Lonchura striata: one gene and its partners. The protein of the gene in region 3 interacts with the protein of the main gene of each other region in a pairwise test. Links are inferred from orthologs where the notes say so. Each region holds a gene or a part of one and is shown on either strand. Other genes may lie near its edges.

Evidence for each region.
Region 1: the proteins of MID2 (region 3) and CEP57L1 interact in binary tests that used the Homo sapiens proteins (3 or more experiments, as listed by UniProt). The two-hybrid records come from large-scale screens. The link is inferred for Lonchura striata from reciprocal best matches to the Homo sapiens genes MID2 and CEP57L1.
Region 2: the proteins of MID2 (region 3) and LGALS8 interact in binary tests that used the Homo sapiens proteins (3 or more experiments, as listed by UniProt). The two-hybrid records come from large-scale screens. The link is inferred for Lonchura striata from reciprocal best matches to the Homo sapiens genes MID2 and LGALS8.
Region 4: the proteins of MID2 (region 3) and GEM interact in binary tests that used the Homo sapiens proteins (3 or more experiments, as listed by UniProt). The link is inferred for Lonchura striata from reciprocal best matches to the Homo sapiens genes MID2 and GEM.

The regions. Positions count from the first base shown.
Region 1 is NC_134605.1:69,473,750-69,481,137, forward strand, and holds the start of CEP57L1 (centrosomal protein CEP57L1), read right to left. Parts: upstream 3,015-7,388; 5' UTR 2,945-3,014; intron 1-2,944. Other genes in the region: SESN1 (sestrin-1), read left to right, coding at 3,642-3,881. UniProt on the Homo sapiens protein: Centrosomal protein which may be required for microtubule attachment to centrosomes.
Region 2 is NC_134605.1:45,720,275-45,727,499, reverse strand, and holds the start of LGALS8 (galectin-8), read right to left. Parts: upstream 3,014-7,225; 5' UTR 2,923-3,013; intron 2,763-2,922; exon of another isoform or gene 2,742-2,762; intron 1,124-2,741; 5' UTR 1,039-1,123; coding exon 925-1,038; intron 1-924.
Region 3 is NC_134616.1:15,076,474-15,083,423, reverse strand, and holds the start of MID2 (putative E3 ubiquitin-protein ligase MID2), read right to left. Parts: upstream 3,021-6,950; 5' UTR 2,936-3,020; intron 1-2,935. UniProt on the Homo sapiens protein: E3 ubiquitin ligase that plays a role in microtubule stabilization. Mediates the 'Lys-48'-linked polyubiquitination of LRRK2 to drive its localization to microtubules and its proteasomal degradation in neurons.
Region 4 is NC_134603.1:24,313,819-24,321,116, reverse strand, and holds the start of GEM (GTP-binding protein GEM), read right to left. Parts: upstream 3,003-7,298; 5' UTR 2,842-3,002; intron 1,117-2,841; 5' UTR 1,108-1,116; coding exon 774-1,107; intron 1-773. UniProt on the Homo sapiens protein: Could be a regulatory protein, possibly participating in receptor-mediated signal transduction at the plasma membrane. Has guanine nucleotide-binding activity but undetectable intrinsic GTPase activity.

The DNA of each region.
Region 1 (7,388 bases), on a different chromosome or scaffold from region 3:
GCAAAAAAAGGCCACATCTCCTAGACAAAATGGCTTGGACTTGACACCAAACTTGGTGCTTGGGTTCAAAGGCAGTAGAGGAGCAGCCTCCGGCCTTTTGGTGTCTCTTTGCAAAACAGGAGTCACAGAACTTTGTTTTCTCAGAGGGTAGTTGTGAAGGAAAATGCATTTAAATCTGGAGTACCATTTATTGTGGCAACATGCCAAAACACAGATCTAAAAAGGGTGGGTGAACTTTTTGAAGACTCATCCAATTATTTAGGTATTTAGCAATTGGAATGAAGTAAGCCTTAAGAAAATCAAGTGTAAAGGAAAACAGTTGAAGGAATTTAATTTAAAAAGCAGTTCCTTCTAGACTGCACAAGTTTTACTGTGTTATTATTAGTTCTCCAGTATTTGACTAAATGCATGCTTGAGAAAAGTGCTCTTTTGTGACATACAGAAACTGGAATGAACTTTTAAAACTAAATATAATGTATTTTAGATCTTGTATCTTAGAAAGAACATGAATACTATTACTAGACATTGTATTTTCAAAAATAATTCTGCTGTTGGATGTCATCTGCTATAGAAGTCTAAAGAAGGCTATAGAAGTCCTTATCTAGTTTAAAAAAAAAAAAAAAGGAAGTTGATAAATCATGAAGGAAGGAAATACTGAGATTTAAAACAGCCACAAATTTGTTTTTCTTCAGCTTATCATTTTGAAAACTCAACTGCTGCAATTCTGGATGAGTTGCCAGATTGTTTCCTTCATAATTCTGCCTCTCTCTTATCCGTTCTTTAGGGATCAAAAACAAGCATATTAACTGCAGTCAGTGAACACACAAATCAAACAAACACATTGCCCTAACTTTGGGCTCTGATTAATTCCACTGGTAGCCTCTGACCTTGATTTCCACAATGTCTTGCAGTGCATAAAGAAGCCTGACCTGGTATCAGAAAACTGCAGAGATTTGGTTTGGAAAAAAAATAAAGCCATCCTCATTGCTATTCCCTAAGTCTACATTAAAATCTATAAAACAAAGGGCTGAAATCTGAAGTTTAGGCCTTGGAGCCAGTTTCACAATCTGTTTCCTGTAGCCAGAGTTCATTTGGAGCCAGTGGAAAAAACAGCTTCTAAAAGATAAAAGGCAGTGCTGTGACTTTCAATCAATCTTGGCATTCAGTGTGTGAATACAGCTGTACCAAAGTCTAAAACACCAAAGCTCCAGCTCTGAATCTGGTTCACTCTTCTGATCTTGGATGTATGTTGTCATTGTCAGAGGCACCCAACAACTCATGATGGGAAAAATAAGATCTAGCCAACTTCTGGAGATCAAAATATAGATAGAAATAAAGCAAACAGATGTGACATGCCCATTCATGGGAAAATGGGAGACCATAATGAGTGACAACAGAATGGGATGGGAAGCTGAACTGGTAGCTAATGTAAAAAACAGAAGAAACAAACAAAAAAAATCCCTTCAACAACATAAAAAGCACTGGAAGAACGATTTTCTTTGAACCCATCAGTTATGGTGGGTGGAGGCCTCAAGTGCTTAGAGAAGTCAAGACTCATATTTATTACAGGTAGTGCTGATTTCAGCAGATGCATTGTTCACGAGGGTGCCAAAGGCCTGGAGGAAGCAGCTGCATGAAGCAGTCCAGGCCTGTCCACCCTCCTGAACAATGGCAATGCAGCCTCCTTGCAGAAAGGATTTTATGGGAAAAAAAAAGACCAGTCTTCCTTCAAAGGTACAGGTAAATGCACGTTTTAAAGAAACTGTTCCAGAAGAAAAAGTGATGGCGGATAAAGAAATCAGATTCTGTACAAAGAAGAAAGCTGAAGATGAATGGTGTTGGTGAACCTGCCCAGGCTCTGTTCCTAGACTCAGAAGTGGTTTCTGTGTCTTTCTGTGGCATAAGAGAATCTCATTCTGCATTTAACTTCAGTTTTGACATCCGAATTTTAGAGTGGGAAATGTGTACATGAGAAGTTAAAAATAATTATGCAAGCCCCTATGTAGGCCCAATGTCCTGTTTCTAATTTACTCCCAAGTATTCTTTTGCCTTTCTGTACACTCAAAATTTTAGTGCTTCAATGTGACAGCTGCAAACAGTTCTGCACTTGTTTTCTTCTCCTCTTCACTGCCAAGAGGTGAACTGGATCAAGGAACTGACTTAGCTGAAAATATAAATTTATCAACAGCAGCTTTTTTCTTTTTTTTTTGCCTCTGCAGGAAAAGCAAGGCAAGCAGCAATACCAGCCTCTTTAGTGGCAAATTACACTTAATCACAGAACGGCTGAGTTTGGCAGGGACTTCTGGAGATCCTCTGGTCCAAACCCCCCCCTCCTCAAGCAGGACCACCCGGAGACAGCTACCCAGGTTGCCCCGTGTCCAGGCAGCTTTTGAGCATCCCCAAGGATAGCAAGTCCACAACCTCCCTGGGCAACCCGTGCCAGCGCTTGGTCACCCCCACAGTAAAAAACGTGCTTCCTGATGTTCAGAGGGAAGCTCCTGTGTTTCAGTTTGAGTCCTTCGCCTCTGATACCGGCACTGAGCACCACCGAGAACATCCTGGCTCCATCCTCACTGCACCTTCCTTCTAGGCACAAATAAATGTCCGGATATATGCGCGGCCAAGATTCCCCCCGAGCCTTCTCTTCTCCAGGTTCATCAGATCCTGCACAACTGGGATTTAAAAAAATCCCCTGGGATTAATCTGGATAAAAACACCGCTGAACTGTGGCTCAATGTGAATATTACGGGGATTTCCCCGCCCCTCCCATCTCTCCTCCATCCCAAGTGTGACGGGATGCGTTTCGCTAGCACCGACGGTCCTTCCGCTCCCGCTGACGCGCTCGCTTAGGACACATCCCAGGACTGCTTCACCCCCGGCTGCCGCCAGCCATCGGCGCTCCATAGCCTGCTGCGATAGACCGCAGAACCCCCCAGGCCCGCACCAAACAGGACGGCGGGAATACCGTGCGTGCATCCCAGCGAGCGAGCCACCTCCGGCGGGATCCCGGCCGCGCGCCGCGCTGCCTGCCGGGACACGTGGTCTTCCCGCGCGAGGGCCACAGGACGGCCCTTTGGCCGGACTACATATCCCAGCAGCCCCCTGGAACGGCCGCTCCCCGCCGCAATTGGGCCCCCCGGCCGCGACGCTGAAAGGCGATTGGCTGAGCGGCGTGTCCGTCATGCGGGTTCCCCGTGCTGGGCGGGGCTCTCTCCCCCAACCCCGAGCGAGGGGACTGCCGGGGGTCGGTGGCGGCCCCGGCGGGGCGGGCTGAGGGGCCGCCCCGAGAGAGGCAGGGCTGGGGCCGCCCCTTCCCTCCATGCCCGGGGCAGGGAGGAGGAGCCGCCGGCGCCGTGGGGTGGTGGCCGCCCCTCTCCCGGTCGGGAAAGGCGAAGCCCCAGCGGCTCCGCTGGCTCGGCAGCCCCGGCGCGGGAGGGCGGCGGCGGCTGTCGGGGGCACCGGCCCGCGCTGCCCCCCATGCGGCGCGGGCAGCGGGCTCTGCGCTCGCCGCGGCCGCGCTCGTCGTCGTCTGTGTGGGCGGGCTGGCGGCTGCCGGGAGCCCGCCATGGGGCGGCCGCGCCGGGGCTGCTGAGCGGGAGGAGGCGGCGGCTGCGGCGGGGGAGCAGCGGCCGAGCGGCCCCATGGAGGAGCGGGAGGGCGAGGTGCGCTGGGACGGGCTGTGCAGCCGGGACGCCGCCGCCCGCGGTGCCGCCCTGGACACCATCGGGCAAGCCGTGCTCCGCCGCGCAGAGAGCATCGCCTCCGGGGCGGCCGCCCGCGACGGGCTGGGCGAGGCGCTGGCCCGCCTGCTCATGCTGTCCAAGAGGTGCCCCTTCCCCGACGTGAGGGAGAAGAGCGAGGCGATCCTCGGCGGGGTGCAGGTGAGCGCGGCTGACCACCCCTTCGGCTTTGGGACCGGGCGGGGGCTCTCCCGGCCCCGTCCCGCGCAGGGCGCCTTCGGGTTACACCTGTGCGACGAGGGGGGCGGCTGATCCACCCTGTCAGGTTTATTCCTGCAATTAATACTTGCTAAGTGCTCCCCACCCCTACGGCTCTCTCCCCAGAGAAACATTTGGAAAAGCGTTGTTGAAAGGCGGCGGGGGGAGGGGGTGGAATATCTTACTGAAGACACTTGAAAAACACTTGGATGCGTTCCTGTGTCACCTGCTCTAGGTGACCCTGCCTTGGCAGTGAGGTTGGACTGGATGATCTCCAGAGGTCCCTTCCAACCCTAACTATTCTGTGAAAAAGCACGAAGTCTTTCAGTGGAATCCACCAGAGAGGACTTGGCAATGAATGGCTGGAAAGTTGGGGCATCCCCAAGGAAGCACTAAAATGACAACTTTAACACTCTAGTTTCAGTCTGTATAAGTGCTGTGGTATTACCCGGTTAACTTTAAACGAAAAGCAGGAAGGATTTGGGTACTGATATTAGTGTTGCCAATTGAAAATATAAATGGGAAGTTTTGGAGCTTTTAAAAGCCATATGAGCTTGTTGTTAAGGCAGAGCCCATCAGAATGCCCTTCTTGTTGTTTATTGGTAAATAGTTTCTCCACTGGCATCAATATGATCCAAATTATTTTTTTTTCATAGCTCATATGCAGCCTAGCCAATAGAGGAATACATTTACTGACCTAATGCTAACAAAAATAAATGTTACTTTGTACTCTTCCACTCTTACAGTCTAATTATAGTTACTTGCATTGCGATTGTCTTGCTCACCTCTGGTTTTTGCTCAGGTCTTGGAGTTCTTGTATCAACGGGTCCAACAGCACTGGCTAAAGATATTACTTTTAACTGAAGAATAGGAAAAGGAAATTCAGCTATTTCTTTTAATCACAAATGAATAGAGAGCTGTGCATGGAGATAGCTGCCTGATTGTCACTACTGTGCTTTTTCTGCCTGAACTTTAACAGGTTGAATATAGGGGAATCCAGGGAAACATAATAACAATATATGAAAGTACTATAGGTATAATAATTTATACATTATATGCATAAATATGTATAATATAAAACCCATTATATGTTATCATATATATAGAAACACATTCTGGGTTTGAGTTATTGGAGCTGAAAGAGTCTCTGTTTATTTTGTCTAACTTCTCAGTACTGTGCAGTGTGATTAATACAGTGTAACTTATTTTACCCAGTTTAGGCTGTGTGTGCAGTTTTTCTCAAAGCTGATGGTTTCATGTGGTCTAAGTGGAAAGCTTGACAGCTTTTCTTTAAAAACCAAAGCCAGTGAAACAAACAACCACCCCAAACTTGAATACTGAGTTGAAAACTTTAATCTGGCATTTTCCCTGTTAACTGTTCATATGAGAAGTGAGTCTGTTACCAGTGAGAATGATGAGTTACTGCAACAGACTGCTAAGGGAAGACTTGTTTTTGTCAGGTTCAAGATATCAGAATCTATTCCAAAAACAAACAGATGGTGATCTCTCGCCTAAATTTTGGGGTGAGGTCAGAATACAGGACTGGATGACTCCCTTTTAAGTTTTTATGCATTTGAAGTTAGTGGCATGTTCAACTATTAGTGTGGTTTAGAAACTTTGTGACTAGTTTTTTTTTTTTATAACTAGGGCAAAAAGTTCTGGCAGAAAATGTCCATCTTCATACAGCAAATGCAAGTTCAAATGCCGTGATCCTTGCTGCTTTGATTAATAAACCATAGGTTTGAAAGGTTTAATAGCTGTGAAACCAATTGTATACACACAAGGTGCAGTAAAAGTTTTCCAGCAAGTTAAGCAAAATAAAATAAAATAGAATATTATTTTAAGAAAATTTTTAAAAGCTGCTTTTGTAAATTTTCCTTTTCAGAAGCATAGATCTGAGAGGAGTATTCTGTATTTCATGAATTTAAGAGTGGCAAATCTTAGTTCTTGTGTCTGTACTCATAAGTGAAAATTTTCATTGTAATCTTTGGATCCACATTTGTTGGAGAAATAATCCAGTGCAAGTGTTCTGTTTTGGGTGCTAAGGACTATTGTCAGGCATGAAATGGTTTTCGGTTGATTAATGACCAAGAATAATATTGTTCAAATCCCTGCAGTGAAGATGGCAGATAGAGCAAACTATTAAATTAAATATTATCACCACACAGAACTTTCAGCAGTGCTTCCAAAGGTTAGTAACATAAAAATGTGCAATCCCATTCAGAATAGCATCAACACTTGTGTTACGTTATCTCCCTGTTTTGGAATCTGAAGTCCACACCAATATGTACAATTATGCTGTCTAAAGTTATTAAATGATATAGAGCCTAGGGCAGGAGGGGCAACTTCAAACCCAGAAGTTCTCCTGTGAACTGGGGCTCCCCTCATTCTCTCTCTTCTGGAATGGTCCATCCTAGACTAGAACTCTGAGACTGTACTCATATATTTCTTTTTATTCCTGCCCACCCCAGCTGCCTCAATATGGAGAACTGCAAAATGTACTTTATTTATCTTTCAGATTTGCTTCCAGCATAAATCAGTGATGAAATCAAATATTAGATTTTTCCCTGTGGTCTGATTGCTATTTCTTCCTTTGAGTTAGTGCCCTCTTGCCTGTTGGGGCCGTCAGCAAATATTTAGGCATGAGTGACTGGTGCTCCTGGTGGTTTTGCAGCTTTGTGTCTGGAGCAGGTTGGTAGAGTGCATTATATGGCTGGTGTAGGCTGCAGGCTTGGCAGCAGCCTGTGTCAGCATGGCATCCCTCTAAGTCTGCCTTTGTTATGTTTTGGGGTTTTTTCCCCCGGATAAAAATTCCTGTGATATATGGTGGAATGCTAAGTGTGCAGCTTTCTTATTTGCTATTAATAAATAGCATTAATAATGATATTATTAATAAATAATATTGCTTGTATTACAATCTATAGAATTAATTATAAATTCCTGTTGATTTGAATTATGTTTGGGATAATGAGTTTTCTCATTGTAGGCTATATGTCTATATATGAATAATAACATATACTTTTTTTACCTGAGAGAATACATGTGTTTTCCCATTTAGAATAAATGACTTTTTTTGTAAGGGTTATTATAAAGACAGTGTCAACAAATTAGTCCTCTTCTTTCTAATTTTTGCTTTTATTAATAAAAGCAAGTTCCTAAAGCCACTTTGACCTCAATAGATAATTTAAAAAATGTTTTAAAGATATTTCAATTGTAATAGTTTAACCAAGTGAAAACAGTTTAAACGTTTGCATTTGAAAATGTTTGATGAGTAGTTTTTGAGGTAAACCCCCCAATATGTATCATAGGTTCTTGGTAGATTCTTGCTCATGGGGTGTTTTGCATGTATTTATAGCACAGTGCCTATGACCTTGCAGAGTAGTGCGTCATTCCTCCCAGTGTGCTGGGTGTCCGCACACCAACACAAATATATTGGGAAAGAGCAGCAGC
Region 2 (7,225 bases), on a different chromosome or scaffold from region 3:
TTCCTCTCCCAGCTGGATTCTTCTGAAGGAGGTTGAAACCTCATGCCTAACTCTATTCACTTTGCAGCAGTGACCATACACTGGGAATAAACAGTCAGATTCACTGAGGACCCAAGAGTGTGACAGTGCAAAGCTGCAATAGATAAGGAAGTCCTGTGCAGGTCTGTGCCACTGCACGTTCCACATATATACTTTACTGATTTTGGTATTTTTAAAGGGATCTAGCACAGAATGGTAAAAATACTATTTCCTGCAGGTTCAAATGAATGACCTTTTTTAAGGCACAACAGAAAACACAGCTTCAGATCACCCCTTTATGGTAAGCCCAAGTCAGGCTGCTATCACAGACCATGAGAATGCTAGAACTTTTCAGAGAAAGTTTCCAGACTCTGAGCCAGGCAAACAAAATCCTGTCAAATCTGGTCTCTGCAATTGCTGAATCATGTCAGTTCAAGTTTTCCGTAGAAAACAGGATTTATTATGAATTAAGATATGAACTATGAAAAAAGATTCCAAGTTTAGTTGTTCAGACTGAAGTTACAGGCACAACAAAATAAACATTTCATGAGAGCTGCCAAACCCCACCCGTATTTACAGAGAATCAGGAGTGAAAACAAATCATACTTTCACTTTCCAGCATATTCTGCAAAAATGCCAGACATCTGTGTAAGCTGTACATGAAACAGGATTATCCTCCAAGGCTGACAGAACGTCTGTCCTCTTTTGGAAGTCCTGTCCATTTGTTTACAGCACAATTTCTAAACACCATCAGCTCTTCATGTCACCTGTGACATTCTCCCTCAAACACCTGAGTGATGCAGAGCTCTCAGTAGCATCCCTCACTGTGCAAAACAGTACTGTTGATATAAAACAGCAAAGTCCCATCTCCCAAGGGAGACACTGTCGACATGACAGAGGAGTTACCGGGTTACTGATTGTCTTCTGTGATGTATCCAAGGGCAATTCAAGCATTTCTTTCTGTGGTGTATCCAAGGTCAGTTTACACATTTCCTCCTGTGGTGCACCTAAGGATGTCATCTTCCCACCTCCAGCTCAGGTCTGTCAGTTCTGTGTGGCCACTGCTGGAGAACTCACTGATCAGGCAACACCAAAGGAGTGACCCCTTCGGGGAAAAAAAACAAAAAAACCAAAAAAAACCCCAAAAATTTTAATTAAAGAGAAACAAAACAACACAACATGAATTAAAACCCTCCAAGGTACAGCTACAAATAGCAGAAGAAAGTATGCAAACATCTTTCCAGTACCTCTGCTAGAGTTTTGAAATATGAAATTAAAAGGCTTTCTTAAAGCACTGAGATGCCCCACTGATAAACAATGTCAACAGGAGTGTGCTATCCCCAGATTTACCATGGCAGACAAGCCTTAGCAAGTGACCTTGCCTTTTCCACCTTTATCTTACATAAAGCTAAGAAATATTAGGCAAAGAAGAGAAACAGAGGGTGTTTTACATTTCTTCCTCTAACACATACAATCTCAGAACTCCACAAGTAATAACAGAAATTTATAAAACTATAACAAAATGCACAACATTAATAAGAAATAAAGTTTGTGAGTATACTCAGCTACATTGCAACTTCTTTAGCAAATCCTTTAACAAAGTGTCCAAAATTCAGGGCCAAATTGAAACTACCAAGTATTATTTCTGGCATACACTGGAGAAATAAGGTAGCATATAAACTATGTGGTGATAACAAGCAGACAGGGAAAAAGTCAAAGGTGAAGGCTCTAGCCACATTATTGTGTGAGAACAGAAAGCTATGTTAACGGAGAAGAAAAAAAAAAATAAAACCAAAACAGAAAAAACTCCAAAACAACACAAAATCAAAACTCCAAGGTCTGTGGCCTGTTCCACAGGGGTTAATCTTCTGCAATGATTAATAGAGTGGTCCATTTTGCAACATCTGACTTAGTCTTGTTGAAGATTTGGACCAGATGGGTATTAACTCACCCACTTAAGACCAGTATCTAGAATACAACTCAGAGAACATAAGGTCTCAACACTGCACAACTATTTTGCCCTTTGATCTTCTCAAGGGATATTACCATAAATTCACTTTTGCCTGTGCAGGCATGTTTTATCGATTTCATTTTTAAAAGGAGAAAATAAAGACCAAATCAAACAATAATTTTGCCTTTACGGTTGTACAGTCCAACAGCAGACCCCACAAAAACGAAACTTACAGCTCAGCTGTATCCTGCTATCTGAACTTCCTGTGCCTGCAGCAGGAATCTAGATCCTGCTAGGAGAGGATCCTGGCTCAGGATCTTGGCAGAGCCAAGAGCAGGTGGCACTATGACAAAGTGATGAGTTAGGAGTTTTCTTATCTGCCTATTACTGTTTTACTGGCAAGGTCGCAATAATGAAGGAAAGCTGCAATTCAGGCTCTGTTTGTCCAAAGGACGTGCAACTGCAAAGCTCTCCTGTATCCTCCTGCCACCACCACCAGGGTACGTGTTACACCAAACCTGCAACACGGCAAGTTAAGGTTCCCTGGTGCCCTGCTATCTCACACATTCCCAGGGGCTGGAAATATCTCCCACAGACAAACAGGAAGCCACAGAGACCAAAAATAATAATAAGCGGTTATTAGGCTTCCCACTGTGATACAGAGAAAATGTGTCGCTCATGAGTTACTTTCATGAGGGTAACTCCGGCCAGTCCTTACAATTAAAGCGAGATCTGGCACCAGTGCGAACAAGGATTCTGCACAGAGAATTACCGAGACGCTTTCTGGACATCTTCAACCACTTAAAGTACAAAACACTGGCGGTGTCCCCCGTCCTCCGCTATAAACCCGAGACTCCCGAACACTGGAAGGACACAGGACGAAGCAACCTCGGCCACTTCAGCTTTACGGCGAACCGAGGCAGTCCCTCTGCCCGACACGCACGGTGTCTTACCGCAGGACTCCCCGCGGCGCTCAGCAGCGCCCGCTCCCCCGCGGGACGCGCCCGCCCGGCCCCGCCGCCGCCATCGCCGCCGCGCCCGGCCCCGCCCTCACCGCGGTGACGTCACCGCGGCGCCGCCCGCGCGGGGGCTGGGGCGCGTGCCCCGCGCGGCCTGCCGGCCCGGCGCGCGCAGGCGCCGCCCCCCGCGGGGCCGGGCTGAGGGGGCGCTGTGGCGGGCGGGCTGACACCGCGTGAGGTGCGCTGCGCTCCGTCCCCTGCGGCTGCGCCTTCCTGCGTGTAGTGTGCTTCCGCGGAAGGCCTGTGCCCAGTGCTCTGCCACCCTCTGCATAAGTTCTCCCTGACATTCCTGGGGTTTAGTTTATGGCCATTGCGCCTTACCCTCTCACTGGGCATCAAGAGTTTAGCACCATCCTCTTGAACTCACCTTTGGGATATTTCTATGCATTAATGAGATCCCCTCTCAGCCTTCTCTAGACTAAGCAGGCCCAGCTCTCACAGCCTCACCTCCTAAGAGATACTCCAGACACCAAATCATCTTTGTGGCCTCCACTGGACCCTCTCCAGGAGCTCCTTGTCTGTCTTGTATTGCAGGGCCCAGAACTGGACACAGCACTCCAGATGTGGCGTCTGTAGGGTGGAGCAGAGGGGCAGGGTGACCTTCCTCAGCCTGCTGGCCACACTCTTCCAATGCACCCCAGGACACCTTTGGCCCTCTTGCTGCAAGGGCGCTGCCGGCTCATGGTCAGCTTTCACCCACCAACACTCCCAGGTCCTTCTCCGCCAAGCTGCTCTCCAGTAGATCTGCCCTCAGCCTGTGCTGGTACTTGGGATTATTCCTCCACAGGTGCAGGACCCTGCACGGGCCCTTGTTGAACCTCATTAGGTTTCTCTGTGCTCAACTCTCCAGGCTCTCCAGTGACCCACAATGACTGTGGTCATTTCTGTCCCAAGCCAGCTTCCGTCTGCCTCAAGGCTGTGGTCTATCTTCCTGTCCCCTTGCAAGCCCCACTAAGAGTGATTTTGGTAGGATTGGTAAGGTAAGCAGGAAGGCCAACAAAGCCCCTTGCAGTTTTATAGCTCATTATGTGTAACAACAAACAGTCTGCTCAGAGAAGCACTACAACCTCTGTTAATACACTGGATGGGGAAAAAATGAGCACAAAAATAAAGAGTGCAATATAAAAGGCTCATAAGCTTAAATCACCATCTCCTGTTCGAATAAAGGCATTCAGTATTTCTTTGCCTTGCAAAAAGCAGTGTATATGGTTATAGAGAATTTAGAATGGCATTCAGCCACTTGTCACAAAGACCACTAGAGTATCTTAGCTAGATAATATCCAGTCTTTTATTCCACAATTAACCGACACAGAAGCCCCATCTCAAATCATCTATCTACTTGCTAGAATTCTTCTGATAGTTGTAGGATTGCTGCTTTTATGGGTACCTCAGCTTACCTATATAAAACTGGAAGGATTTGTTCACAGAAAGGTATGATAACACTTCTTTTGAGGAGAACGGTAGAAATGAGGTGCTTGGATAAAAAAGCAGCAAAGCAGATTGCCTGGGGAAAGGTACCTTAGAATCATGAGTGGTTGTGAGAGAGGACTGACAACTACAGTGTATAGTTAGCTGCCAGAAAAAAGCCTGCTATTCAACTGTTCTACATAATTCTACAGCGCTACTTAAAAAGAGAACAAATAAACTACCACTTAGTTTTTCTTTGAATCTATTTTTCCAGGCACTCTAGTTGAAAGAGTAGAGCACTTTAATAAAACCAGACTTACATAAATACATGAAATACACTCAATTGTCAGTATGAGACTGCAACCTCAAAGCAGGTTTGAAAGTTCAGGTCAAACAGGAAAGACAGAAAATATGCTGAAAGGTTGGAATAAAAAAATATGATGCTGAAAGGAATAGCAATAAGCAGAAGTGTTTCTAGAACCACAGAAAATAAAGTTTTACTGCTTTACTACTTCTTGCTCAGGGCTCTTCTACTTTTGGGAAGAAACAATCCAGAGGAAATACAGTGATTTGTATTATGCACCAGTTCCTTACTGAAGCAGAACAGCTGTTTGATTATGTGATTTTAGGCTGAGTCATAGGCAGTTTATGAAATTTGCAGGGAAGCCCCTATTTCAGCACCCAAACCTAATGTAGCATTGACAATGAGTCAGTTGGCTTACAGCTTCAGCATCTTTGTGCTAAAGTGCTGTTGTTTTGTTCATAGACTGTCTTCTGATCCTGCTGATTTCTTGTGACTGCTATTTTTAGCACCATTTACTAATGGCAGTCCTGACAGCAAATAACAAAGTCTTCCCTTATTTCCACAGTCCCAGTCCTAATTCAGGCTTTTTCTTCTAAATTTGATGTGCACTCAGCCATTGCTGGGACTATGTACAATCCTATCAGCAGACTTCCCATGTTCCAGCAGAATTTTGCTTGCTGGAAAAACAGAAATGCTTTGTCAAGACAGATACAGCCAATTTCAGCTGAAGTAAATATAGCAGCTATTCTTGGCCATAATGTAGTATTTCATAGAGGACCCTGTTACCCCTAAGAAATTTTACCTGCCTCTCCTGTCTTTGATGCCAAGCCTGTAACCTGTCTCTCTCAGGGTAGCAAGCCATGGCTGAAAGTCAAGGTGAAAACATACATAGTCATACTTATTTGGCCTGGTATTTTATGCACAGTTCCAATTATACAATTTCCATCAATAATGGAATTCCCTAGACTTGAAACAAATAAGCACTAGTCTCCATTAAGACATTTTCCCATGGAAGTTACTCTTGGCTAATTTTTCTATAGTGCTGTTGTACCTGAATAGCTATTTTCCCCTAGATTACACAGTACTACAGGCCACAGGTGTAAAGCCTCTAGCACATTGGACTGTTCAGCAGACATTTTATGCTTAAGGATGTCCTATGATTTCAAAAGACTGACATTGTTGTGTCTTCTGTAGTTTTAGTGGAGCTGTTTGTGCATTACAGCATTTCTCATGGAAATTATTCCCCTAGTTTCTTTGAAAAGCTTTAGACTCAAGGAGGACATGAGTCCTCTTGGTACACCAACATTAAAATTTCAGCTGACAGCCCAGTTGGCTCAGCTTTTACTTAGCCACGAGTTTATCAGTGGCCTTCCATAACTTTTCCTTGATACGTCACTATTTAGCTTCAGTGATCATTCAGATCTTCCAGTTTTCAGTTTAAAGTTGCAAATCACAGGAAACAAAAAGTCATGGTTTTTAAAATGAGCTTACAGATCCAAAAGCTTAAAATTATACAGCTGCTTCAGGAACTAACAAGTATTCTATTTTTTGTTGCAATGCCTACTTTTTAAAGCAAAATGTTTAAGAGAAGCATAAGAGCAAACAAGGTACAGAATAGATATGCAGGCCAAAGGACAAAAAAGGTACCAAGAAGTCATTAGACCTTCTGAAAACCAATTCTAGGCCATATAACTCTTAAAACATACTCACCCCTCCTTTCTTAAATCAGTGACATGACACTCTAGGTTTCTTGAAGTAGTCAGGATCACTCCTTCATTTGTGTTGCAGTAGACAGGAGAGTGAACCTGTGCCTGTGCTTGCCCTGTCTGCACACCCCAGCATACCCCCACCCCCAGGCAGTTATGCCACGATCTGCACATAGTGATTCAATCCCTGCCTACCTAGGAGATAAAAGCCAGGAAACACTGTATGATGTTCTCCAAACTTGGGGACTGTTATCCAAACCCAAGATCCCTAGAACTCTACCTTCACGCCTTCATCATTTTCCTTGCAGTTGCTCCTGGATATCCCTGGTGAGTCTCTGCAGTTACAGATGAGCTCACCTGCCCTCAGCTCTGCTGCATTTTCAAGGGAGACATGCGAGGGCTGTAGTATCACCTCTCACCACGAGATGGTAGGTGTTTCCTGATGGTTAGAGAGGATCAGGCTTTTAGCAGACCTTTGAGATAGTGAACTTCTCAGCTTCTGAGAAAGAGGCATAAGCAAATAAGGACCAAAAAAACACCCACTGTTCACAGGATTGTGAATGAAGTAGGGGAAGCTCATGTATATTGGCTGCAAAGACAAAAATAAATTCTCAGCTTAGATTCAAGATATTTTTACTACTGTAAGGATTTGCACAGCCCTTTATTATCCTGGTTCTTTCTGTTAAGAAACTTTTATGTTATGTAAATTTTTTTAATGTCATCAACAACATGAAACTTGAGTTATTTTTTGAAGCAAAAAACATTCCCAAATTAAATATTGGGTCATTTTGAAACAAACTTATTATCAAAAAAGAATAAG
Region 3 (6,950 bases):
GGCACGAAGGTGCAGCCCAGTGTTTCCAGTGCTGCGTAGGAACACAGGCAGGCGCCCGGGATCCGAGGGGTGAGATGCTCCCTGCACGCCACTGGAGCCCCCCGCCCTCGCACAGCACAAGGAGCCTTTCAGAGCCACACAGACACAGCATTCTCCCGCAGCTGACCTCCCTGCCCTGGCATTTTTGGGACCCAGGCTCCACAGCAGCCAGCGATGGCGTTGGAGGCAGCAGCCTGAGGCCGGGGGATGCTCCTGGTCAGAGGGGCTGCCAGGGCTGCCCGTTCGTACCAGATGATGGCACTCATTGGCTGCAACACACTCGCTTTCCAGGCAAAGAACACTGAAAACAAGTGAAAGCAGCAACACAGGCTCCCCAAGGCTTTGTCCCTCTCCAGAAGGGAGCTCAGGGGAGCAGCCACCCTCCCCTTGCAATGAGGGGAGCACCAGCCTCAGAGGGGTTTCGATCAGGTTAAGGTGGGTTTGTTACAGAAGGTGTTTGTAATCAGCAGCAGAACTCCTTCCAGACGAACAAAGTAATCACACTGCTCATCAGCTTCCTTTAGTGAACCAGACAGTTCTGGTTCCAGCATCTCTGATGGGACAGCCTTGGTCTCTCCAGAGACCAGTCTTCAGGATGCTCCAACGCCCTTAAAGCCAGGGGTTGACCCAAGAGCTAAAAGGCTCAAGGCACCCCTCCACACGACAGAAGCCACAGCTGATAGCTCAGGAACCCACAGAGAGCCCAGGTGAGTCGCAGCGTGGGTTTAGAAACACCTATCCATCCCTAGAGGGGACGGAGCAGGAGACAACAAAATCTTGGCTTTAAAAGTAAGTCATTTATCCATCTCACATGGTCCCAGGGCCAATCCCACTCTGCTCACAAACAGGCACACACACCGACACACACCTCAGAGGCCAGCACAGCTCACCCGGTGCACGCTTTGCAAGGCAGGGATTTATCACCCACTGCAGCTCCATTTCTTTTGCAAAGCAGCACTTCCAAAGCAGGCAGGACGTGGGCTGTGCACAGGCACGGCCTCGCAGCCGCCATGGAAGGCTGCACAGGGCACAGACCCAGCTCGGATCGCAGCAGCCGGCACATCCAGGGCTCTGCAGCCACCTGCCTGAACCGAGACAGCTGCTGCTGTCCTTGGCATCAATTCATCCTTCCTGCTTGTAGTGCTATTGCACTTACTGTCTTTTCCCAGGAGTGTCCTCAGGGAACATCCCCTCGGTTCGAGGGTATTCCAGCACTGCTGCCTGGGCCAGCCTCCCTCCTTCCCTCCGTACTGTGGCCAGTTTTACTACCCCTTGTTCAGGGGCACAAGCCAAGCCTCGAGTGTGCTCCTTGATGGCAAAATGCAGCAGAGACAAGCTCAGCACAGAGCCCCTGACACCCGGAGGAGCGGAAGCAGCTCTGCACAGCCCCTCCAGCACAGACTGAGGGTCACTGCCCGCTGCAGCCGGGGTACAGGAGGGAAGGGCACTGCAGAAGGGTCTGAGAGCAACTCGAGCCTACACTCAATGCCCCCCCGGCAGGTCGGTGACATCTCCCATATCTGCCCGACACTGCCCGATGATGCCCCCCTGCCACCCGGGAGCCAGCAGCGCCCTGCGCTCCGCCACGCACCGCTGCCAGCTCCCACCCGGCTGCGGCAGCTCCTCCGGCAGAGCCGGTCTCCTTGAAGCCGCCTTCCGACAACAAAAGCCGAGCCGAAACCTCCGGGCTGGCTGGGGAGACCTGGGCGGCAGCCAGGAAGGGCAGGAGCCATTAACGCCGGCGTGTCCGGACTTGAGGGAATGACGGAGCAAGCAGAGCCATCTGCCCTCGCCGGAAACTCCGCAGACCGCTGGGCAGAGCGGCCCTTCACCGCGCTCCAGCCGTGCTCTAGCCCTCGCCAGCTGCGCGCATCGGGGCAATAAACCTGCGGCTGGGATGTTTTTTTGAGGCAAAATAGAAAAATAAAGCACGAGAACGAGGTGTCACTTGGGCGCGTATTCCAGCAGCCGCACAGATCCTCGGCGCAAGCAAACACACTCGGCTGCCGGCTCAGCGCTGACACCCCAAAGCGCGGGCAGTACCCCGGGAACGTCTCCCGACCCCCGGTGTCCCGGGGGGCAGCGCTGGCAGACCTCCCACACGTGGCCGTGTCTCTCCTCTGCGGCTTCCGAAGCGCCGGTCTCGGAGCCCGCTAGCGATTAAGTTCCATGGCCCTGGAGTTCAGCAGATCCCAGCCGCGCTGGGGGAAGGGGAGCGGGGGGGGCCCGGGAGGATCGGGGCAGCACCGGCCCCGCACCGGCTCTGCGGCAGCGACGACAGCCCGGCACCACAAACCGGCGGAGCTGGAGCGCGGGCACGGGGCTGGGCGGCGAGAGGGATACGACACTGTCCACCGAAAAACCCGTGGCGAGGGGGAAGGCGGGGGCATGACGGGGTGGGCGCGGGATCCCCAAAGCCGCGGGCGGGGAGCCGGGAGCCGGCGAGTTCGTATCCGCTCCGCCCGGAACGCGCCGCCGCTCCCCAGCAGGACGGCCCTGGGCGAACCGGGGCACCGGGAAGGCCGCGGGAAGCGCCGGGCGGGGACAGGCCACCCGGTCTCCCCGCCGAGCGGCGGAAGGTGCCGGAGCGGGCTGGCAGACGCACTCGGCGACGGGGAGAGGCGACCGGGAGCGGGGGGAGCCCGCGGCGGCTCCCGGGAAGGGCGGCAGTCCGCCGCCCAGGCACTCGCTGCAAACCCGCGGGAAGGGCCGCGCCGCGGCCCCGACGACCGGCTCGGTGCTTCCTCCCGCCCCGGTACCTACCAAGTGGATCGCGGCATTCCCTCCCCGACTCGGTGCCGCCTCCCGCCCCGATGCCGGTACCTACCGGCGGCCCGCGGGAGCCCCCCCGGCCCGCCCCGGCGCGCCCGCCCGCCCCGGTGCCGCCGGTACGTACCGGGGGCCCGCGGGAGCCTCCCTGCCGCTGCCCGGGCATCTTGGAGGCGCGGGGACACGGCGGCGGCGGCGGCGCGCGCGGGGCGGGCGGGGCGGGGCCGGTGCGAGCGCGCGGCCCCGCCCCCCGGCCCCGCCCCGCCGCAGGTGAGGCCGCGGCGCCGGGAGCGCGCACGGGCCCGGCGGGAGCGCGCGGGGCGGGGGCACTGCCGTGGGACAGCGTGTGACCCGTGGGGATAGCGTGTGCCCCGGGGGGACTGCCCGTGGGGACAGCGAGTGCCCCGTGGGGACAGCAAGTGCCCTGTAGGGACTGCCCGTGGGGACAGCGTGTGCCCCGTGGGGACACTGCGTGCCCCGTGGGGACTGCCCCTGGGGACAGTGTGTGCCCCGTGGGGACAACATGTGCCCCGTGGGGACAGCGTATGCCCCATGGGGACTGCCCATGGGGAAAACGAGTGCCCCGTGGGGACAGTGCGTGCCCTGTAGGGACTGCCCCTGGGGACAGCGTGTGCCCCGTGGGGACTGCCCGTGGGGACAGCGAGTGCCCCGTGGGGACAGCAAGTGCCCTGTAGGGACTGCCCGTGGGGACAGCGTGTGCCCCGTGGGGACTGCCCGTGGGGACAGTGTGTGACCCGTGGGGACAGCATCTGCCCCATGGGGACACTGCGTGCCCCTCAATGTGTGCCCCATGGGGACAGTGAATGCCCCGTGGGGACAGTGCGTGCCCCTGTGTGGTCGGGGCAGTGCGTGTTCCGTGGGCTGGGGACACTGTGTGCTCCATGGCATCGGGCACTGTGTGTGTGCTCCCTCAGGCGGGGGACAGTGAATGTTCCTGTAGGGTGGGGGACACTCCCACCCTAGCATCGGGGACACTCTGTGCTCCTGCGGGCTTCGGGGCAGCGTGTGTCCCTGGGAGATGTGGGGAACTGCGTGTTCCATGCGATGGATGGCACCGTATGTCCGTGTGTTTATGGTGAGATTTGGTACCTTGACAGCCTTGGGTCTTTCAACACATTTATTTTTTTCAAAGTGAAAAATGAGTTAAATGGGCTTTTCACCACCTGATTCAGCATCACAAAGGGACGTCCCACCCAGCGTTCTCCATACAGCAAACCAGCTCTGGGTGAGGTTGGATTGTTGCGTGCAAAGTGCATATATATATATATATATATGTATCCACAGCAATAACATCAAAGGGAAACATGGGAGGGGGAACCCAGAACTGTAATTTATTCCTTGGTAATATGGGGACATGTGGCACAGGTTATTTATATTTGAAGGCTGCCCTGAGTGTAAAATGAGCCGTCTTTTAAAAATAAACATGAGGGAAAATACACCCAAGCTCCTGGTGTGTCTGAAGGTGAGGCCAAGCTGCTGGCAGGTGCTGGAGGAGGTGCTGTGAGCCGGGAGCAGCAGGAGCCTCCTGCGTGCCCTGAGCGCCTTCATCCCTGCACACACACACAGAGGAATGGTGGTTGTTGGTCCAGGTGGACACTGAGCACACAGCAGCTGTCCTGCGGTGGCTCTCAGTGAGACAGGACAGATACAAGGCCACTGAGCAGCCAAGGCTGCCACCACCACCATGGCTGGCCTGGTTCTCACCTGGTTCACTGTGCAGAGGGATCACAAATGCTTGCTTCCAGCAGGGTCTGACAACAGGGGGGTTAATATGCACCATGTTGTTTGCATTATAAACCCCATCTCTGATTTTCTAGCAGCGAAAGCACAGCACAGGCAGCTGTGGCCAAATCACAGACTCTAGAGCTGTCCTGGGACCAGCCTTTGTCTCTGTACCTGTGCAGAGCAATGTGAGGTGAATGAACAGCCTGACCAGGGCCCCATCCTCTGACCCTTGGACAGGCAGGAAATTAAAGCCACTTTTCCAAATTTAGAGCCACCAGTAGCCCACAGCAGGTAGCCATGGGTGGGTTCAGGCTCTGAGCAGAGCTGGGGCTGTGGCTGAGCAACAGCAGAGATGTGCAGCCCCCAGACATGGCACATTAGGCTGCAGGGAACTGAGACCAGTGAAAACGAGCAGATGGCTGGAGGTCACAACAGCGTCCCACCACCAAGGGTCTCTGGGTGACAACCTGACTGCCCAGCACTCACTGCAGTGCTGGAGTGCAGATACCAGTGGCAGCTCAGCTCTGATCTCCAAGAGCCTCAGCCTTCCTCCCACAGCAGGGACACAAAGCCCAGGTGTGTGGTGGCCAGCTCCACAGTGTGCCCATGTCCCTCTAGCTCCAGTGCCAGCCTCACCGCAGAATGAGCAGGGCCAGGGAGCACAAGGGCCAGGAGCAGCTGCAGGGGTGGCACAGCAGAGATCAGTCTCAGTGTCTCCTCTGCACCCTGGGAGCCAGCTCGTGGGGCTGGAGCAGCTGCTGGGATGCCACAGTGGAGATCAGCCTCTGTGCCTCCCCTGCTCTGCAGGATCTGGCTGTTGCTGGCACTCCCAAGCTGAGGGGCTGTGGTGGATGTGCACAGCTGTGGCTCCAGCTGCTGAACAGACCCAATGCCAAGGCCCAGAGTGGGCTGGCACCCACCAGACCATAGCTCAGAGACACAGTATGTTTAAGTCCCTCAGTTTTCCTCATGGATCACTGCAGATGCCAGCCTCCCTCGAGGCGTGATGGGCACTGGATTAGCTGGGATCCTGCATTAATCGGCAGAGTGGCAGAGGTGACCTTGGGCAAATATTTACAATTACTGTGGTGTCATGTCTGTGCATGTACTCAAAACACAGAAGGGGTAGGGTTCAAATGGCACTTTAATGAGCTGCAGGGCAGCAGGAGGGTAGAGTTCCTCACGCTGATGTGCTGAGCAGTCCAGGGTGGGGAGATCATCTCCATCTGCCCACAAAGGCGTGTCAGTGTCGGAGTGGCGAGTGCTCAGCAGCCCTTCTAGGATCTGTGCATTTTGAACAAGGGACCATCTCGGTTTCTGCATCACACGGCTGTGAGCATGTTGCTTGGAGTCGGGGAATTGGGATTTTCCTGCCCAAGGCTGCTCTGCACTCACATCCACATTGCACAGACAGGAATGGAAACACTCGAGTTGTGCCGTGTGCCTGGGATGCCGATTGACTAAATAACACTAGGTTATAAAGCAGGGTTCCCCCTTGAAAATTTGTGCTTCTAGTGGAAAGCGCAGAGGAAAAAAATCCTTTGAAGTTCTGCATCCCTCTTCCCACTCCTTCTGAAGAGCAGGCAGCCAGTGTGGAGACGAGCAGGGCTTGATGGATGAATTACCCCAGAAGAATTTCTTCTCGATTCTTTCCTACATTTTGATGATTTCATTTCTGCAGCTCTCATTAGCACCTCCTTTATCCCCAGTTCTTCCCCAAAGGCATTCTGCTCTCGCTCCCTCCTGCTGCGGAGGGAGCGGCAGAGCAGGGATAGCAGTGGATGCTGTGCACCACCTCATGTTGAGGCCTGGAATTTCAGAGCCTGAGACGAGCTCCAGCTCTCTCCCATGGCGAGGGAGGTGGAGTACTCATCTGCCCCAGAATTTACTCTGCTGGATAAGAGCGATGCCTCATCTTCACACAAGGGCTCAGTGGCAGTGTTAAGACCTTTGTTAAGGCCCCGTGGTCTGACAGACCTGCCAAAGCCCCAGCAGGCAGATGAGCTTCCCCACAGGCTCTCAGGGCTGATTATTGAAGAGGAAATCTGTTTTCCCAAGTCTGCACTTTTCTGCATTCAGACCAACCCTGTATGCTCCCCCAATCCAGTACAGCTCTTTCAGAAGGCTCACAGGATTTTTGTGTCACCCTGTTTGTGAGCAATCCCCCACTCTGCCTCCCCTCCCCAGGACCCTCAAGAGGGAAAGGAGGCAGGCTTTAACAGGTGAGAACGATCCAGCCAGGTTTTCAGCCATCTCCTGCACATCTCTGTACTGCCAATGCCATTTCCACTCCCTCATGCTGGAGCTCAGCAGCAGATTTGCTCACAAAGTCCTGTTGTGCCAAGGAAAAGGCTCCTGAGTTCCTCAGATCAGGCAGAGGGATGAGATGCTGGCTG
Region 4 (7,298 bases), on a different chromosome or scaffold from region 3:
CAGCAGTGACTACATCCTTGGAGACACAGCAGATTTCTTGGCAGCACAACCCTTCCACATCAACACCTTGCACACAGTATAACCCAGGATTTGGTGCTCCAACTTCACCTTCTGCACAGTCTGATCTTTGGGATTAAAAAACACTTTGCAATCCTAAACTTTGCAATCATAAGCAAATCAAGGGGGGAAAGAAGGGGGAAGCATCTTCTGGAGGAGCACATACTGTGCAAATAACATGAAACAAGGTTTTTACTCAAAATTTTATATATTTTATTCAGTCCATACATACTTCTAATGGCAAATATTTTGGATGTAACTTTCTCTATATATTATTTTAAATTATTTAATTCTTGTAAATCATGAGGACCTTCAGTTGTTTTCTCTCTCAAAAGGAAAGCAGGAGTCAGCCCTGTGATGCCAGTGGTAACACCAATGTTGGACTAGCTATGAAAGCTAAAGCAGACTCCTGTGCAGCATCATCACAGGTAGGAATGAGGCAGTTTCCAACTGGTATTTTGGAATGAAACAGCATAAGAATCTGAATTGCTCTCTTTCAGTGGCTTTCAGTCATTGTTGGAGAGTATCTTACTCATCTTATTTTGCTTTCTTCTTTTCTTAAAAGAGGTGCTTGAGTTCAATCAGTTTTTATAATCAGACCCAAACACTTGTTACTTCTGGTTTCCATTAAATGGCCTCTCTCTTTTTCTGTGCCAATTACTACAGGCAGAGCTGACTGCAGGCAAACACCAACACCCCAGGACATAATTACCTACCTCCCAGCACCTCACAGTCGCTGTCAATGCTGTCGTGCACGCCTGCAAAGATGTTGGCTAGCGAGGACTTCCCCACGCCGTGCTCCCCGATCAGCACCACGCGGTAGCAGCTGCTGCCAGACTCGGAGGAGATGACAGAGTCGGATGACTCCGAGGACCAGCTCCTTCTGTAATATTCATCAGGACTGATGGTGTATCGTTTCTGTGGGTTGTACTCATTGGAGTCCTTCTGGACCAGCAGATTCTTTCCATCAGCAGGGATGCTCCATCGCTGCTGCTGCTGGTGCGGGCTGCTGTTGTGTGTGCGACGCATGGTAACATTGTTGAGAGTCATTTTTAACCCCTAGTGAAAAATAGGGAAATCACAAATGTTACCCACGAAACATTTAGAAATGCTCTCTTACTAGCTTCAAGGGGCCACATCATGCTCCTCTGTAAGGACCTAATATGTGAGAAAAGAAAAATTAGCCTTTCTGCACTCTAGCGTACTTGGTGGTGCACAAAGCAGTATTTTATTTATTAGCTAGTGAGACAGAGACTGTTTCCCAGGGATAATACCACCCTCACATGCTAAATCCTATCTTGTTCAGCCTTTACTAGCTCACGGCTGTGCTGGGTGCAGCCCAGTCCTGGAAAGAGGGAGGCATTGCTGCGTCCCAGGAGGAGAAGGAGGGGACAGTGCTCGCCACACCGGTCCTACACAGCAGCTGCAGCCCTGCCGAGAGACTGCCTGTGGTACAGGCAATGTTCACCTCCTTTTGGCATCACTGGGGACAGACAGAGACACTGGTCCCAGTTGCCTCCAGCTGCCGGAGCAGCTGGGTGTACAGCATCTTTCTCATTGACTCAGTTAAGAGCTGAAACTCTTGGGAAAGCAATAAGTCATAATTCACTGCACTCTTGAGACAACCCTGGTACAAAAAGTCATGCAAGCAAGTCTTGCTGTGATGGGGTGGATTTGGGTCTTGTCTGTGGCCAGGTAAACAAAGAATGATTCGGCCTCAGACAGTGACTTTTTGGCTGGTAAGAGGGAGGACATAGTGAAATCCAACAGCTTTTCTGAGGAGGTACAAGTTATAGCTTCTACAAGAGATAGAACTGAGATAAAAGGCTCATTAATTTATAGATATTAAATCAATTACTTAATTTCTGCACAATTAATTAGATAGGTTCATTTTTCTAAAATAAGCATAGCTCTTAATTACATTTTACTCAGCAAACTCTATTTTGCCTTGCTTGGAGGCAGGGAAGAGTGATGTCATTCTCACAGGCCAATACCTACCATTTTTAGGAAAGTTACTTTGATGCACTCCAGTTTCCAAAGTGACCATTATTCAGACATTTTTCTTTTTTGCCCTATATCTGATGTTTCTTGACTCTCTCCTCCATATCAGTAAATAGGATAATTGTCCATAAAATTCACCCAACTACTTTCAAAGCTCAATAATAAATGGTGAACAGTAAAAAGTACAGTAAAGCAACATGTACAAATTGCTATTCTTCTTCATAAAAAACTGTCTGAAAACTTCTGTGACTAAATTCCCAGCAGGACCAAGGACAAAATATATAGAAAAAGCACTATCTGAATTTACTACAGAATACACAATATTTTCTGTGTGATGTGCAGTACTTTGGGGCAAAAGGAGATCGTTTTCATGGTCCTAGTCACAATAACTTTGTCAGCAAGAGATACATCTGAAGAAGAAATCACGTACTAAGCAAAGACTTCTTCGCAAACAAACTTAAATATTTGCTGTGGTTGAATTCTGAAATGCACTTTTCCCTTCAGTATCCCCATTGAAAAGATCAGATGAGAAAATCCAGATCGCATTCAAACAACAGAGTAACTCACAACCTGCAACAAGCTGTCACTCACAAAAACATCACAAACACAAATATTTTACAATTTAGCCTCTCACAAATTGTCATCCCTCATTAAAAAAAGCCAAAGGAGTCCCTGTCACACACTGTGCTCCAAGTTCAAACTGGTTTTGCTACCCCATACTGCATTTAGCTGCCTGGGTCTGCAGCAGCTCCAGGAAAAGACTGGGTCCAAATCCACTCTTACTTGTGCCAGGCTCCCGCAGCCAGTCCAGTCCTTTGTTCCCCCTGCCCTTCTCCCTCGGTGGGCTGTGACACACTGAGCAGCTCTGCTGAAGTAAATCCTCTCCTGCTTTGGGTCTGCCTCTTTAATTCTTTCTCAGCAAACCTGGTTTATATTAAGCCCATCTGATCAGAGACAGGGCTTTTCCGTGACGTGGCCAGCCTTCCCATACAACAGCCAGCCCCCAGCTGGGGGAAAGCAGACGTGCAGCAGAGAAAAACTTGCAAACAATCTCAAAAGACTTACTCAAAATCATGTGATTGTTTCAATATTGCCAGTAAAATAAACACTTTTGGTTCTTGCGTGATGAAAACAGGAAAGTGGAACAAAAATAAATAATGGATGTTATTTAGCCTCAGAGAGTTTTAAATTCAAATGTTATCAAAATTAATGATGATTTAAAAATCACCTAAGTTTATTTAATGCATTAAATTCTGTAAATGTATTATGTATCTGTTCTCTGTCGGCAAAACACACTTAACCCCCTGCTGGACAAAACATTTCTCTGGAATAAAATATCTGAATGTTATTTTGAAATATTTTAGAAGTAGGAATATTAATTCTAGGGGCTTAGTTGGGGTTTTGTTTGTTTCTTTGTTTCTAAAGCACCAGTATTTACAAATATGTTATTCTCTGTCAGGCTCCAAGTGACTGTACCCAGTCTTCTGATCTGTATAAGCATCTCTTTCTCACTTCTGCTTCAATATTTTACTACCAAGGGCTTGAAAAGACATCCAACTATGAATTCAGTGTTGCTGCAACTGGATGTTGGCAAAAATGCATCAGAACACACAAAGTCTGCACAAAGTCACACAGTGTTGACACTGTGCACAGGAACAATCACTATATAGTGTACATGCCACAAACTCAGGGTCTGGTCCTTAAATTTTTATAGCCTCATAGCTGATTGGCAGAAGAAATTTTGCCAGAAGGCAAGAAATCCAAACCTGTTGAAACTTGCAACAACATACTTCTTCATTAGCAAAGGAAGAGTAAGAAACCGTGACAGAACTACTTACTAGGGCTACCACAACTTTTATGTAAGTATAAACAAACCCTGTAGTCAGCTGCCAGTTATCCAGACTCTGGATTAAATATAATGAGGTCCTACTGCTTTCTTTTATATTTACATGTTTACATTTTATATTTACATTTATATTTACAATCTCCTGGTCCCTGAATCAAACAGAAAAGTTCTTATCCTAGAAGTCTGAACAACTTTGGCTTCAAACAGGGGAATAATTCTTTTTTCCATGCTACAGGTAAGCAAATCTTTAACTGACAATGTACCTTTATTGAAGGGAACACTGATGTGCAGAAAACATCTCTTGTTAACACTGCAATTGAAATCTCTTTGCCTTATTTTCCCATTGGCTTTTTTGCATTCCTGTATCTTTCATGAGGGTTCTCAGGGACCTCCTGAGCCATTCTCAAGTTTTAAAGGCCAAGAGCTTTTCACGAAGCAATAGGTACTCATCAGTATACATGAAAATTATGCAGATCTACCAAGGGTAGGATTGGGCAAAAATATGCCCTGACTTTCTTTCACATGTATTTCAGTGCTTGGCAGCAGCTCAACTGGCCCCAGGTCCTGCATCTTCACCCCACCTGTCTCTTACTCATCAGGGCCTCTGCTGCTCAGCGATAATCCCAAAGAGCACAAAGTGCCACATCCCTCTGTGTAGGTTGTACAGAGGGGCTTGTAATACTTCCTGCACAAAATGTAACTAGATCTCTATCCAGGAAGGTTTGTGACATGGACAGTACTTTGCAAAAATCCTTTTCTGTTGGCATACCCAACTGAAGTTGCTCGTTTTTTTGAAACATGCTGGAAACCATGAAGGTGAGTGGGTGGTTGGAGCAGTATGAACCTCAGGTTTGCATAGCTCTCTGTAAGTTGTCTGTAATTTTTCACTGCTGAGTAAAAAAGCAAAACCTGTCCACTGCAGGACTGGAGAGATTTATGGCCAGTGATTGCAGCAAAACTGCAGGCTCTAATGTCTCACCCAAATGTTTAACATATATCACAGCAGAAAGTGCAGACAGAAGAAATAAACCAAAGGCAGAAAAGCCTTTGTGTTTAGTTGTAGTTACTGTTAGATTAGGAATTGCTAGACATCATCTTTCATATCCTCTTCATAAAATTCAAGACAGACAAAGAAAACATGTCTCTCCAGAACTACACAATATATCTCTTCCCTAAAGCCATACAGAAGAGTTGTCCCAACATGGCATGAAGTGCTTGTACTTGGGGAACTTGCACATATGTGTTTTTCTTTGTACTGTCTCTTCTGAGCCTACTCTGGTTTTCCAGTGCACAATTAACTCTCCAGGTCCCATTCTGCATACACCTCCACAGGATGTGACGTTGTTGCTCCTCAGGGAATGCCATCAGCACTCATGAGCTTCACTCACTCTATCTGTGGGTGAAACATATTCTTAACTGTTTTTAAAGCTGGGGAGAGATGCAGCCTTTTTAGCCTCTGGGTACTTACAAGGGATAACAGCAGGCTGATTACTGAAATATATTAACTGAGTCCTTCATAGGGACAAAAACAATCCCATGGACTGAGACTGGTGCAGTCTTGGTCTGTTCAGCCCTTTTGCACTCGTTGCAGGTCAACATTTCTGCAAGTCTCATGCCTGCCCAAGGCACGGGCATGAGAAGAGACAAACCATAAGGCCAGTGCTGTCGCAAAGCACACGAGTGCTTGAACGTAACTGCCCGCTGCCATATCAGAAGTCAGAGGCATTGTTTTTCTTCCATCTTATCCACTCTCTGTTTCATTAATCACATCTTAAAGGAATTCTCCCTGCAGCCAGGATGAAGTAAACATTGCAGAGTAGCAGTTCTGCAATCCTTCCCCAGACAATTACAATTAGACCAGGTGATGCCCAGAGCAATTAGGCAGAAATTTTCCATTGGATATAACAGCAGTGCTTTTTAGCTGACACTTAATTAGCCAGTTTGAATTTATGTATATGATGGTAAAAGTAGTTCCTCAAATCTTCTGGTGTAAGTGTTGTCCACAGAGAAAACATAAATCATCTTGGAGTAGGAGGGGAATTCCAGGGAGGAAAAAGAAAAGCATGAAAAACAAAATTCAGATTTATTTTAATGAAAAGTGAATGCAGCATGTTTGAAAGTGTGTTTTCTCCCTATACATCCAGCAGAGAAGCTCACCTGTATCATTCTCCTCAGAAAGCCTGGCTTTGTTGACTTTGTTTCCAACAGTGAGTTGCCTGCACAGGCAATGAATGAGGTCTGCCTCTCCTCCAAACCATTGTGGCATTTCAGACCTTTCTGTGCTTCTCACATCTTGCAGTGCTGGCAGACCCTGGCTATTCTCAGCCCTACCAACAACAGCAGCTATGGACAGAAATTAATTTGGGTGCTGGGCTGGATAGTGCTGGACATGCTGGGAGTGCCCACAGTCACTGCATGCCCTCCCTAGGGAAGCTGCTCCATTGTCACCATCCATTCCTACTGCACAGGCAGCCACAGGCAGCTGGGCGAGCAAATGTAGAACAAAAGGCAAAAATAGATGTGGGATGAAGCAGCATTGAGCCCACAGCAATGGAACTGTTGGATTACTTACACCAACTTATGTCCACAGCTTTGCCTTTGCTGATCCCAATTCACATCTGATGACTCAGTGTCAAGTTTCACACTGGCTGAAAAGGTGCAAGGGTTCAAACACTCTGAGACTGGGATGTATGAGGTAGGGAAATGAAGGATTATGTGCCTGAGGTAAATTACTGAGGGTGTTAAGAGGGGGACAGGGCAGAGAAAGACACTGAGTAATTAAGAAATAATAAAACATTGATTCATTTTAAGGGGCACAGTCAGAAGCACCTGAAAGTGCCAGCATCAAATTTTAAAAATAGACATTGCTCTTTTCAGTGGTGTAGATTTGGTCGACGTGGTTCCTAGAGTTGCTTACAGGGAGTACTAAATTTGTTCCACCAGCTCCTTTCCTTCCACATCACAGCAGCATTTTTACAAATCTTTAACTGAGCACTAAAATCAGAACATGACCCTTTGGTGATGAGCACAAGGATAGGGAAGAAGCACTGATCTACACAAGTTAGCTGTAAAAGCCAGCATTAGAGCTCTCAGGGAACAGGATTGCCTTTAATCAGCTGACCCATTGGAGAACTTCTTATGAGTCTATTAATTGCAGATAATCTGGATTCTAATGTACCAAAAGGAATGTGTATTCTATATCTGTGCACTGCAGAGCTTTGTTGACTATAACCGGTGTCAAAAGGTATTTTCCCCATTAATGCATTAAGCCAGCACAGTGGAAGACTCAGCAGAAAATGAGAAATGAGCAGCCACAGGAAGCAATGCAGTTCAGTTCATAATAAAATACAAGTTACTTTTTAGTCTAGTTACTGGAAAAGAAATTAAAACAACT